3 linked regions of the Solanum lycopersicum genome follow. The protein of the gene in region 3 interacts with the protein of the main gene of each other region in a pairwise test. Links are inferred from orthologs where the notes say so. Each region holds a gene or a part of one and is shown on either strand. Other genes may lie near its edges. The genes, in order: actin-related protein 2/3 complex subunit 3, protein BRICK 1 and protein SCAR2.

What was found.
Region 1: the proteins of protein SCAR2 (region 3) and actin-related protein 2/3 complex subunit 3 interact in a two-hybrid assay, tested with the Arabidopsis thaliana proteins (2 studies listed by BioGRID, with this or other methods). The link is inferred for Solanum lycopersicum from reciprocal best matches to the Arabidopsis thaliana genes SCAR2 and ARPC3.
Region 2: the proteins of protein SCAR2 (region 3) and protein BRICK 1 interact in binary tests that used the Arabidopsis thaliana proteins (3 or more experiments, as listed by UniProt). The link is inferred for Solanum lycopersicum from reciprocal best matches to the Arabidopsis thaliana genes SCAR2 and BRK1.

Annotation. Positions count from the first base shown.
Region 1 is NC_090806.1:3,894,714-3,898,471, forward strand, and holds the start of actin-related protein 2/3 complex subunit 3, read left to right. Parts: upstream 1-1,175; 5' UTR 1,176-1,351; intron 1,352-2,187; 5' UTR 2,188-2,264; coding exon 2,265-2,267; intron 2,268-3,552; coding exon 3,553-3,661; intron 3,662-3,739; coding exon 3,740-3,758. UniProt on the Arabidopsis thaliana protein: Functions as a component of the Arp2/3 complex which is involved in regulation of actin polymerization and together with an activating nucleation-promoting factor (NPF) mediates the formation of branched actin networks.
Region 2 is NC_090802.1:8,363,899-8,367,656, forward strand, and holds the start of protein BRICK 1, read left to right. Parts: upstream 1-1,375; 5' UTR 1,376-1,476; exon of another isoform or gene 1,477-1,584; 5' UTR 1,585-1,593; coding exon 1,594-1,726; intron 1,727-1,828; coding exon 1,829-1,953; 3' UTR 1,954-1,992; exon of another isoform or gene 1,993-2,185; intron 2,186-3,758. UniProt on the Arabidopsis thaliana protein: Involved in regulation of actin and microtubule organization. Part of a WAVE complex that activates the Arp2/3 complex.
Region 3 is NC_090808.1:7,931,315-7,935,072, forward strand, and holds the start of protein SCAR2, read left to right. Parts: upstream 1-1,294; 5' UTR 1,295-1,526; coding exon 1,527-1,681; intron 1,682-2,991; coding exon 2,992-3,155; intron 3,156-3,554; coding exon 3,555-3,678; intron 3,679-3,758.

The sequences.
Region 1 (3,758 bases), on a different chromosome or scaffold from region 3:
TAACTTTGACGTTAACATTAGCACAGATTCCCTTTCCACACTCTCCCTTTGAAATATTGAATTTTACTAGAAAAAAAAGAATGTTAAATTTGTTAATATATCAATATTTCAATTCAAAATCAACTAAAGTAATTAGAAAAAAGCTAAGCCCCAAAATTATTGCAAGTTGAACTGATTGAAATTAGAGAATTTTGTGATGGATTATTCTTAAGATTAAGAGTTAGAACAATGAAGACCACAAATTTTAAAAAAAAAGAAAAAGTAGAGAAATAATTTTTTCAAAACAATGTCATTATCAAAAGTTTTCATAGAATAGCATTATTCCTAGAATTATTCCCCTTTTAGAAATTAGGTAGTCATCATTATTATTGGTGAATTATAAAGTAGGGTATTTCAATTAGTCTATTATTAAATCTAGACTCCTTAAAAATCATATATACTTTATGGAAAAGGCGCAAATATAACGTTAAGTTTGTGATTTGAAATGGATATATTTCTTGATTAAAAAAAAATTATACATATATATTTACGTTGTTTAACAATATGATACCTGTATATTCGTGACATAAAGTATAAGGAAAGAAAAAAATGCTAGGCAAGTTTGACAAAAAGTGATGGTTAAACCTACCGTATAGTATGAGATAGAGTGTCGATTAGTCAAGAACTTTCATGTTCAAAATATGAAAGCTACGGAGATGAAATGTTTGCGATGAATGTGTGGGAATAATAATAAGACATGATTAGAAACGAGGATATTCGGAGACAAGGTGCATGAGAGTGATTTTGATGAAGGACAAGATGTAGAAAGCAAGGCTAATGTATGTAAAGAGGAGCTGCACGAATGTCCCAATATGAAGGTGTGAGAGGTTGATAATGGGCGGCCTCGAAAAGGTAGAGATAGGTCGAAGAAGTATTTGGAGAGAGGTAATTAGATAGAACATGACACATTTTCGACTTAATAAGGATACGACTTTAGATATAAGGTTTTGAAAGGCACGTATTAGGCTAAAGAAGTTAGTAGGCAGTAGTGTGTGTCGTCTTGCTATACGTCCACACTAGTAGTCCTAGCATTACTCATATAGTTTCTCGTCCTTCAATTTCTTTTATCGCTCGTTATTTCTTATACCTCAATTATCGTACTATTTTACTAAACTTCAAATTGGTTAAGAAGAGGCCCATAAACATTGAGCCCAATAATAGTTGATCGTTAAGCCCATCTTCAACTACCATCACCGTTTATACCCGATTCTCTCTTCACTTCTTCTTTGATCTTCGCCGGAAAATATCACCCATCCCTGTCGATCTCAACATCTCTCGCCGGTGAAATTAACTATCTCTTCTCGGAAATCCAGTACGTAAAATTACGATCTGTTGCATATCTTTTCGTATCTACTCTTATTATCATATGTTTAACATATTGCGTTTTTGTTGTTGAAACTGTTGCCGTGATTGTTACTACTGTGATTATAATTGCTTTTTCCAAAATGCTTTAAACTGTTTAATTGATATCGTAATTCAGTTAATATAATTCGCTTGGGAATTAGGGGAAATAGCTAGGTCGGAGATCTTGCTTATAGAATTCGGATTGAAAAAAAACTTAAAATTGGAAATGAGATGCTATATTTGTGTTTTTATGGCGATATAGGGAACTTTTTGATGTGTAACTAAAGAGGGAAAAACTGGCATTATAGTTGATGTTATGGGAAATGTAAGATAACTTACATGATTTGCTAAACCATGTTTAATCAAGGGTGAGCTAGGAATTTGAGTGTATGGATTCTAGAAAACGGTGTTTACTAAGTTATTGATAACTTATTTATGCATATTAGGTGGATTCTTAAACGCAAATACAAGATTTGAGCCGAACCTACTGGTTTTGGTCGAAGCTGTAGCTCTGCCTGTGTTTAATGGATAATTCTATAGTAGCGCAAATTAAAAAGATACGAATAGAATGGTTGGGAATGAAAGTGCATAGATGATCTGGAAATAAAAAAGGAACAAGGGGAGAGAGGACGGAAGATGTTGGACTATATGGAAGATTACCTGAATATTACTTAGATGCATAGCTAGTTATCTGATGTAGATGAAGTAATCGTAAATTTTGATGCACGTCCTCTTATATTGGAGTCATGTTAGTTGTGTTCTAATTAATCTTAGTTATCTGATACTTGATGAGTGCATCTGCAGATTGGTGTTATAGCCTCTTTGGTTCGAAATTATACATTGCCTTCTGGTGCTAAGAAGCAAAATTTTCAGCAAGGAAAATGGTAAAGAAAGCATTTTTTTGCTTACATATTTCATTACTTTGGTGACAATTATCTCTCTGAGTTGATAGTGTGATAACTTCCACGCATGATGAAAACCATGCTGTTTCTTTTCCTTTGGTGATCGACTTGGCCCTTTTCCTGGTTTGGTGCACTAAATGAGCTACATGGCTTACATTTCATGTGTTCATTCCACTATTTTGAGTTACACTTTGGTTTCTTCAAAGAGGAATAAATAAATGACAAATGTTGTATTCTGTTTTTAAAACATCTTGGCAATGAGGATCTGTTATTGGCAATATGGGATGGATTGTGGTCTTTCTTTGATCTGTACTCACTTCAAGAAGTCTATATATAGTCTAATGGTGATAAACAAGACAGTAACTGATTTAGAGTAGGGGACTTAGATATGATTTGGATACATGCATGCAGTACGGTATCTTACACACTGATTAATGGAAATAACATGATAGAAATTCCAACCAAAACTGAAGAACAGAAAAGAAAGAACCAAAAATATAAAGATTTAGAAGTAAAAAGAATTACCACCAAGGTTCAAGCTTGAAAGAATTTTGAAATTCAGTCCGGACAAAGACTGTTTGAGCCTCAGAAAGATATCAATCTCAAAATTATATCAAAACCTCTCTAAAAACGAGTTTAACCTTATGTGCAGATTATATTACCTATGTTTGAGAAAAGAATAAATTACACTAACTGAAAAGCCTCCCAATTTGTAAGACCAGTGTGTCACACATGACCGATTCCTCAAGTTCAGCCCGCTGCACTGAGTCGTAATTTCCAGCCCGCTTAACTTTTGGTGTTTGTGTTTCGGTGCAAGGCGTCCAGCCTTAGCTCCTTCTGTCCACACCCAATGCCTTAGCCGTGTGCTGGACTTTACTTTCCAGCAAGTTTTTTTTTCAGCCACTTCCAAGCACTCCTTGAACTCTCAAACATGATATGCTTTGCTCGAATCTTCGCCATGCTCTCCAAGCATCTTCTGATTATCTCTTAGAGATCTGTAACTTCTTGATGTGTAATCCTTGGATGCTCTTGGTCTTGGAGCGCCTGATGGTCCTTATGATCGTTCAGGATCTCTTCCCTAATGTGCATCTGCTATCCGGGGTTGTTTGAGGACTCTATTTTTCTTGGCGATGAATTTTCTGTATTCAACTCTAATGAATTTGTCCTTTCTATTTTATTCACTCTATTATTTTTGTTTTATAGGGTGTTTAAACCCATAACAACTTGTCCCATTGAGTGCTGAAACCTGATTTTGATTCAATTGCAGGTTTATCATTCCAGTTTCGTTGATGAGGAAGGAATTAGTAAAGCTTGTGGATGTCCTTTGTTACCTCTGAAAAGCCATATAAGGGGACCTGCTCCAGTTTCAGAACAAGGTTAGTCTTACGAGTCTTTTCCTTATTAAGAGAATGTCTCCACATTATTATGGTGATGCTGATCTTATTTTTGAGCAGATACAACCGATATTGTTGA
Region 2 (3,758 bases), on a different chromosome or scaffold from region 3:
TTATATATGGTGAAATGTGCCCTATATTTTATTTATATTTTGAGGTTGATATAGTGAAAGAGACCGTTAGGAGAAGAAAAAAATATTCTTCTCCAAGCTTTTCACAATACAAAAGTGAGGCATTGTAAGTTGAAGAAATGCATATTTCTATTGATGGATATTTGAAATCTTTAACTAATTCTGAGTTGTTTAAATTATATAACATTGTTAGACTGTTGTATCGTTTAAAGAACAGGTCAAGAAATATATTATTGAATCGATGTAAATTATGTCTCAGAAACTTGAATCTCCTTAAAAAAAACAGTGAAATTTTCATAGCTCATTCTAAATATATATTTATTCAATTTATTTTTTAACTACAACTTATATATTACAATAATTTAGTCAAGAAGGTATTGAAGAGATTAAACTCCTAGTAGAATAAACTCTTGTCCTCTGGCCGGAAGATACATTCTGATAGCCCATCTTTTGCAAACTATGTATTGATAACTGAATATATTATGAATCATATTAAGACTCCAAAATATATTATGGAGTATCCACCGTAGTTAGTTATTTTTAATCTTTGATTTACAAAATCATTTGTCAATGTATATATTATCGTTGTTATTAATAGGTGCATAGGTCCATCTCCTATATTTGATGAGAATGTATATTCCTATTATAAACGTGAATTTGTTTATCGATATTCAGGTTCAAGATTAAACACTAATTTTATATGGAGATAAGTATTGAAAATTTTATTTTCTTTTTCTTTTATATATCATTTCAACTTCTTTTCGTTCGTACTTTCTTCATATTATTGATTAAATCTGAATCTTTAGTAATGACAATTTCTATTCATACTGGATCGATTTTTCAAGAAAATATTAATATCAAGATTTTATTGAACTTTCTAATCAAAATAAGTTATATGCAATTACGTAATCTGCAGATAAATAATCTCATTATATATTGATATGGGGTAAAATTCTATTGTTATAATGATTCTAATCCCTCTTGTGAACAAGAGTTAAAGTGTCACTATGAATCGGGGTGTAGTATAACTATTGTGAGGAAAATCAAATGATGTATAAGGTGAAGGGATACATTTGATTGTTAACTGCGTCATGTCATGTGTTCCTATTTGATTTTTCATTAGAGTGAAGAATATATATATATTTTAATTTTTGAATGACAAAGACATTATTCAAAAATATGACAGATTATTTATATACCATTTATAATAGTTTGAATATATTTATCATTTTTTCTCTTTTAAAATAAGTGTAAGAAACATATTTAAATTATTTTTTTTGAATTTTATATCTAAAATATTGAACATATAAGTATGATATCAATTATACGTATTTCTCAAGCCAATATGAAATTAATATTTTAAGTTAAACGTATTTTCGACATTTATATCTATCTTCTTTTTTTTTAGAAAAAAACAGATTTGCAAGTAGAGATGCTTGCCTTTGAAGAACAAAGAAGGTAATCACTATCTCCTCCATTTTCCTTTAACCTAAAACTAATCATTGCAGAATTGTTTGTTCTCCTTCCGCATCTCTCTCTCTTTCTTCTCCGTTGATCGGAAAACAGTGACCAGAAATGGCTCGAGCCGGAGGAATAACAAACGCGGTGAATGTAGGCATAGCAGTACAAGCAGATTGGGAAAATCGTGAATTCATATCTCACATCTCTCTCAACGTCCGCAAACTCTTCGATTTCCTCGTCCAATTCGGTAAATTTCTCTAACTCATTCAATATCCTTAGGGCAAATATTCGGTTTTTGTTAAATTCCTGTTGTAAAGCGATTTCGGTGTTGATTTTGTTCTACTTTCAGAGGCGACGACGAAGAGTAAATTGGCGACACTGAATGAGAAGCTTGATACACTGGAACGTCGTTTGGAACTGCTTGAAGTCCAAGTCAGTACAGCAACTGCTAATCCAGCTCTGTTTAATGTTTGACATGATGCAAGCATTGTACTAATATTCTCAATCTGTAAGGTACTTCAATTCTGTATTATAAATAGATTGCTTTGTTTTGGAGATCATATTTGTGAAAAGTCCTTGTTTTATGAAAATCTCAATCAAATGTGCCTGAATTAGTTAGGTTAGCTATATGAATTTGTGTGAGATTCGGCTCTATTCAAGTACATTATGTTCGGATAGTTAATAATCAGTTGCAATTTTGTGGAAATGATTCATGGAATTTAGTAGCTGCAAGTATGCATACCTATTGGATCTACAGTTTCTTTCATCTAAGTTTTCAGTTCGCTAAAACTACTGTGTTGGTTCATTGCTAATGCACAATGGAGATTGTCTATGTGTAAATTGGAATGATAAGTTGATTTGAGGGGTCAAAGCATTACTATAAATTCTTCAAGACCATCTTAATCTTTTGACCTAGTTAATATGAAGCAAATGTTGTTTATACCTTCTGTAATGCCGTTTTGATATTCTTGCCTGTTTTCTTCATATGGCTTCTTGGAACTTTAATCTGCTGGATCTCAGTCTCTTATTTTTCTCTGTGAGTTGGTTCTTTTCTCATGTGCGATGGAGATTTATATGTGGAAATAGGAACATTGTGCTTGTTCATTTATAAAAGTTACTTTACCTTCTCTGGGAAAAAAATGATCGTTTTACCTTCTCATTTTTTTTCTACTAACTTTTTATGTAATACAATCATGTGAAATGTCATTCTTGTAGTCAGTAACCAATCAACGATGCTTAAACTAAAACTTGTTGTGTCATCTATGTGAATCCTCTAATCCATCCTGCTTCTTTGTAATACTAAAAGAATTATCTTTTGAAGTAAATTAGAGGTTTCTAGATCATACTTGGACATGGAAGCTTTAATTAGGACTTCCTGACTTGTAGCAGTTTTTAATACATCCTTGTTTTTAATACGTCCTTCGTTCCAATTTATGTGGCGTCGTGTGACTGGCACAGAGATTAAGAAATTAAAAAGACTCTTTGAAGTTGTGGTCTAAAACAAGTCAGAGATGTGTCTAGTAGGAAATCCTCATTAAGGGTAAAATAGAAAGTTTAAGTAAGTATGACATTCTGTCTAGGACAGACTAAAGGTGAAAGTAGACACATAAATTGGGACAAAATGAATAATCGTTTTCAATACAGAGTTTAACATAATGAAAGGTTGGACATGAGAATGAAATAGCTTGCTGGCCATATACCATACAGCTATATTCCAGACTGGTTATTGTTAACATGGTTGATTTATCTATTAAGGGTTACTTGGTATTGACTGCTATTGTTTACATGTTTTTCCCTTGCCTTCTTCATACTAGCCACCAGGTTCGTAGTTTAGATTGAGCACTGTTTATTTACAAAGTTATAAGATTATATTAATGTTAAATTTGTAATGGACTTATAGCCTATAGGAGTTAAGTAATAAGTTTTAGTTCTAGTTGGAAGTTGTATTATGTGGAAGTGGACAAGTCCATTAAGAAGATCTGGCAAATGATCCAGCTCGTAATTTTTGGTGTCTATGCGCAGAAAGGAACAAAAGATGTTTTGATGGGACTTCAACTCCTCACTGCTCTCTTAAGTCCAAGTGTTTGATAAATCTCTTTAGAAAGAGCAATCTATCCCCTGTAAATGGTGTCATTCCCCTTTAGATTGTATCAGCTCCCTCTCAGTGTCTTAGCAGCCTTGAGTTCTAGTTTCTTTTATCTGAGATAATTCAACTCTTGTCAAGAAAGAAAAGAAAGAGAATCTGAGATAATTCATTCACATATTTCTCAGATCTCTCA
Region 3 (3,758 bases):
ATGTGAATAGGTGCAGGATCCAATACAAGTGCTCTCACTGTCTCACCGTGTATTTATAATTGTTATAGTTTTTTTTTCAAGAGTTAATTTATAAATCATTTTATTAATATTTTATAATATATTTTTAAGTCATATTAATATATATAAAAATTATAATTTGTATTATTTTTTATATAATTTCTGAATATATATATTTTTATTTAAAATATAAATTTATTTAATCTTATTAATTATAAAAATTATAAATTAACTTTATAATATATGACATAATAATTAAAAGCGGACAGAAGAAGAAGTATAGAATTAAGGAGGCCCACAATGAAAGGCATGACAAGCTCAGCCGCGTTTGTCCACCGTATTTTATTTGTCTGAGTCTTTCCGAAAATTCCCAGGTTATATTTAAAAATATACACACAAGTATAAAATATGAATTAAATTATTAACACCATTTAAAAAAATATAATTAGTGAAACAAACATTTTAAGTCTCCAACCAGATATATTAAAATTAAACTGAATAGTAGTTGAAACTTTCATCTACAATCAGTAACCAAAAAAAAAGTTCATAGGTAATTTTTATCATGAAAATTGTAATTTTTATAGGTAAAGTTTGTGCTTTTATCTAATAGCTTGCACCAGATTTGGTGAATTCGAACCAAATCTCTTACTTTTGTTGAAAATAAAATTTTAAATAATACTCCACTAAATATATATAATATTCATATATGATTAAAATTTTAATATAACTAAATCGTATAATTTTCAAGCAAAAGCTTCTCCACTGGCTAACGTGTAGTTTCAGTTTATCACTATCACATGTGTATTGAAAGAATACATTTTCTTTAATTTAATATAATTGATTGTTTTGATTTTCTCTAAATTATTTTAACTATAGTGGTATAAATTCACTTTTATTCAACAATTTAAATAATGATTCAAACTAAAAAATTTAAGATAAAATATTTATATATAATTATAAATTAAAAAGTTTAAAATTTGTGATTCCTAATAATGGTAATTGATTATTTTTATAATAATATTAGTTACTTTAATTTCAACTTCAGTAATTTAATTGATGATATAAGTTGTTAAGATTAAATATTTATATAACAATAATTATGAAATTACAGGTATATCAACTTACTTTATCAGTTAAGAAATTTTTATTTGTTATTTTAAAATTGAAATCAATTAATTTACTCGATATTTATATTTCAATATTATAACCATCTAAAAAATATGTTATACAAATTGAATAATGAACAATATATAAGATAAAAGAGCAGTAGAAACGAGTATTTAATATAGTCAACCGACCCTCTTCTCTGTTGAGTCCTCACCTCTTCTTTCAACTGTACATTCACATTCGCCTCAACTCTTTCTCTCTCTATAGCTACAATTACCAACGAAGATACAGCTTTACAGAGACTCCATTGATACTCCATGTGCATGAATTCAATGGCAAAAATGTAATGTTGATATTCTGAAGAGAACGTTTGATGAATTAGGGTTTAGATTTTGTTGAAAATGCCTGTGAATAGGTATCAGATTCGGAACGAGTACAGTTTGGCTGATCCGGAACTGTACAAAGCTGCTGATAAAGATGATCCAGAAGCTCTACTTGAAGGCGTTGCCATGGCTGGACTTGTTGGTGTTTTGCGTCAGCTTGGTGACCTCGCCGAGTCAGTATCTCCTTTTTTGTTTTTCTTGCTTTTATTTTATCTGATGCGTTTTTCGTTTTCAATTGGCTGATTTTAGAATTTTGTCGTTTTACAAGTGAATGCTTTCTGGATTTTTATGTTTCAATCCACCTTTATTTTCGTAATTTTGGATCGATATAGTTAAATATGCGAGTTGAGATAATCAGTATTGAAATCTGTTGAAATTTGGTAGTTGGAAGATGCTTTGTAGTTATTGAAAATGGAAAGTTGAATTTGTGAGTCCATTATTTGAAATGTTATTTGATTGCATTGTAGATTTTCTTTTTGTTGTTTTTTTTGACAATTATTGCATTTGTATAATGTGACTACTTTTTTTTATTTGTTGCTTTTTTCGGCTGTTTGATTAAGCATTTACAAGTAGTTCTGTTCTGGGTAAATTCATACGGAGTTCCTGTTTTTTTTATTATTTTAATCTAGATTATGCTTCTTAGAAGATGAGGGAATTGAGATGGTTTGGACTTACGAAGAGGAGACGTGTAGATGCCCCAGTGAAGAGGTGTAAATAGAGGGTATGAAGAGAGGGAAGAAGTATTTGGGAAATGTGATAAGACAAGATATGCTGTAGCTTTAGGTTACCAAGGATATGACCTTAGAAAGGAGGGTGTGGAGGACATCTATTAGGGCTGAAGGTGAGTAGAGTTTACTGTTGTATTGCTTAGGATGACTGATGTTTGCCATGATACTAGTTATATTATTGTAGTTCTTGTTTTTTTTAAAAATTTTTATCATTGTTTATTGTAGTTTGCAATCTATCCTAGTATGTTATTTATTGTGTTTCGGTTATCACATTACTTAATTGTTTTTTTTGGCTCCTTTTTGGTAGACTTTGCATTGTTTCCTTGTTACCTGCTATATTCTTTTCATTGTCTCTTTCTTCTTTGTATCTGGATTTGTTGCATTTGAGCCAATGGTCTTTTGTAAACGACCTCTCTACTTCCATGAGGTAGTGGTATGGTCTGCATACGTTTATGATTTAACCTTCCCAAACCTCACTTGTACATTTAACTGGGTATGTTGTTGTTGTATGCTTGTTAAAAAATGTTCAGAGTATGTAGAGCTTAATCTATTGAGTTGCTGATCAATTAATTGTAAGGCATAAAAATTTGGTAGTATCATTAAAATGTGGTGCCAAATATGGGTCTCTTTGCTTATACACTCTCCCTGTAAGTGATTCCTGATCACTTTATTTTGTAAAGAATGTACTACAGTTGTTCTGTTTAATTGTGGTAGCGACTAAAATGTTGGTTTTCTTTTTTATTGTAAAATTGAAGGTTTGCTTCTGAGATATTCCATGACTTGCATGAAGAAGTGATGGCAACTGCTGCAAGAGGTCATAGTCTAACGGTCAGGGTCAAGCAGCTTGAAGCTGATTTTCCTTTGATTGAGAGCGCATTCCTCTCACAGACCGATCACTCTTCTTTCTTCTATAATGCTGGTAAGTGCTAAGAGTATTTCATTGGCCAATAACACCATACAAATTCTGGACAACTTAGTATACTTGCTTTTTTCGCGCACTTTGATAAACTCTTCTTGCTTCTTCTTAATTCTGTACCAAAAGATAACTGTCCTTCCTAACTGTTTTATACATGTTTGTGGTGCATGTGTGTGTGTGCAGAGAGAGAGAAAGAGAGAGGAAGAGAGAGCATAGAAAGGAATATTTGTTTTTTATTTTCCTGAACATAGAATGTGGTGTGTATGAATATTAGTGTTTCTGCATCTGAAAAAAATGGATATTAGTATTTAAGCAATTTATTGAGTTCCGATATAACCTATTAGTGAAAGTGTTCGTAATAACCTATTAGTGAAAGTGTTCGTAATACAAATGTTATTTCAGGTACTGATTGGCATCCTAATCTGCGAATCGACCAAAATATGGTTACAAGGGGAGATTTACCTCGATTTGTGATGGATTCATATGAAGAATGCAGAGGTCCACCTCGCTTGTTTCTGCTAGACAAGTATGCTCTGTTTTTGACAGCTTTAGTTGCATAGAGTGTTAAACTTTGTTAGAACAGCGTTTGTCAAACTTAATGGTATT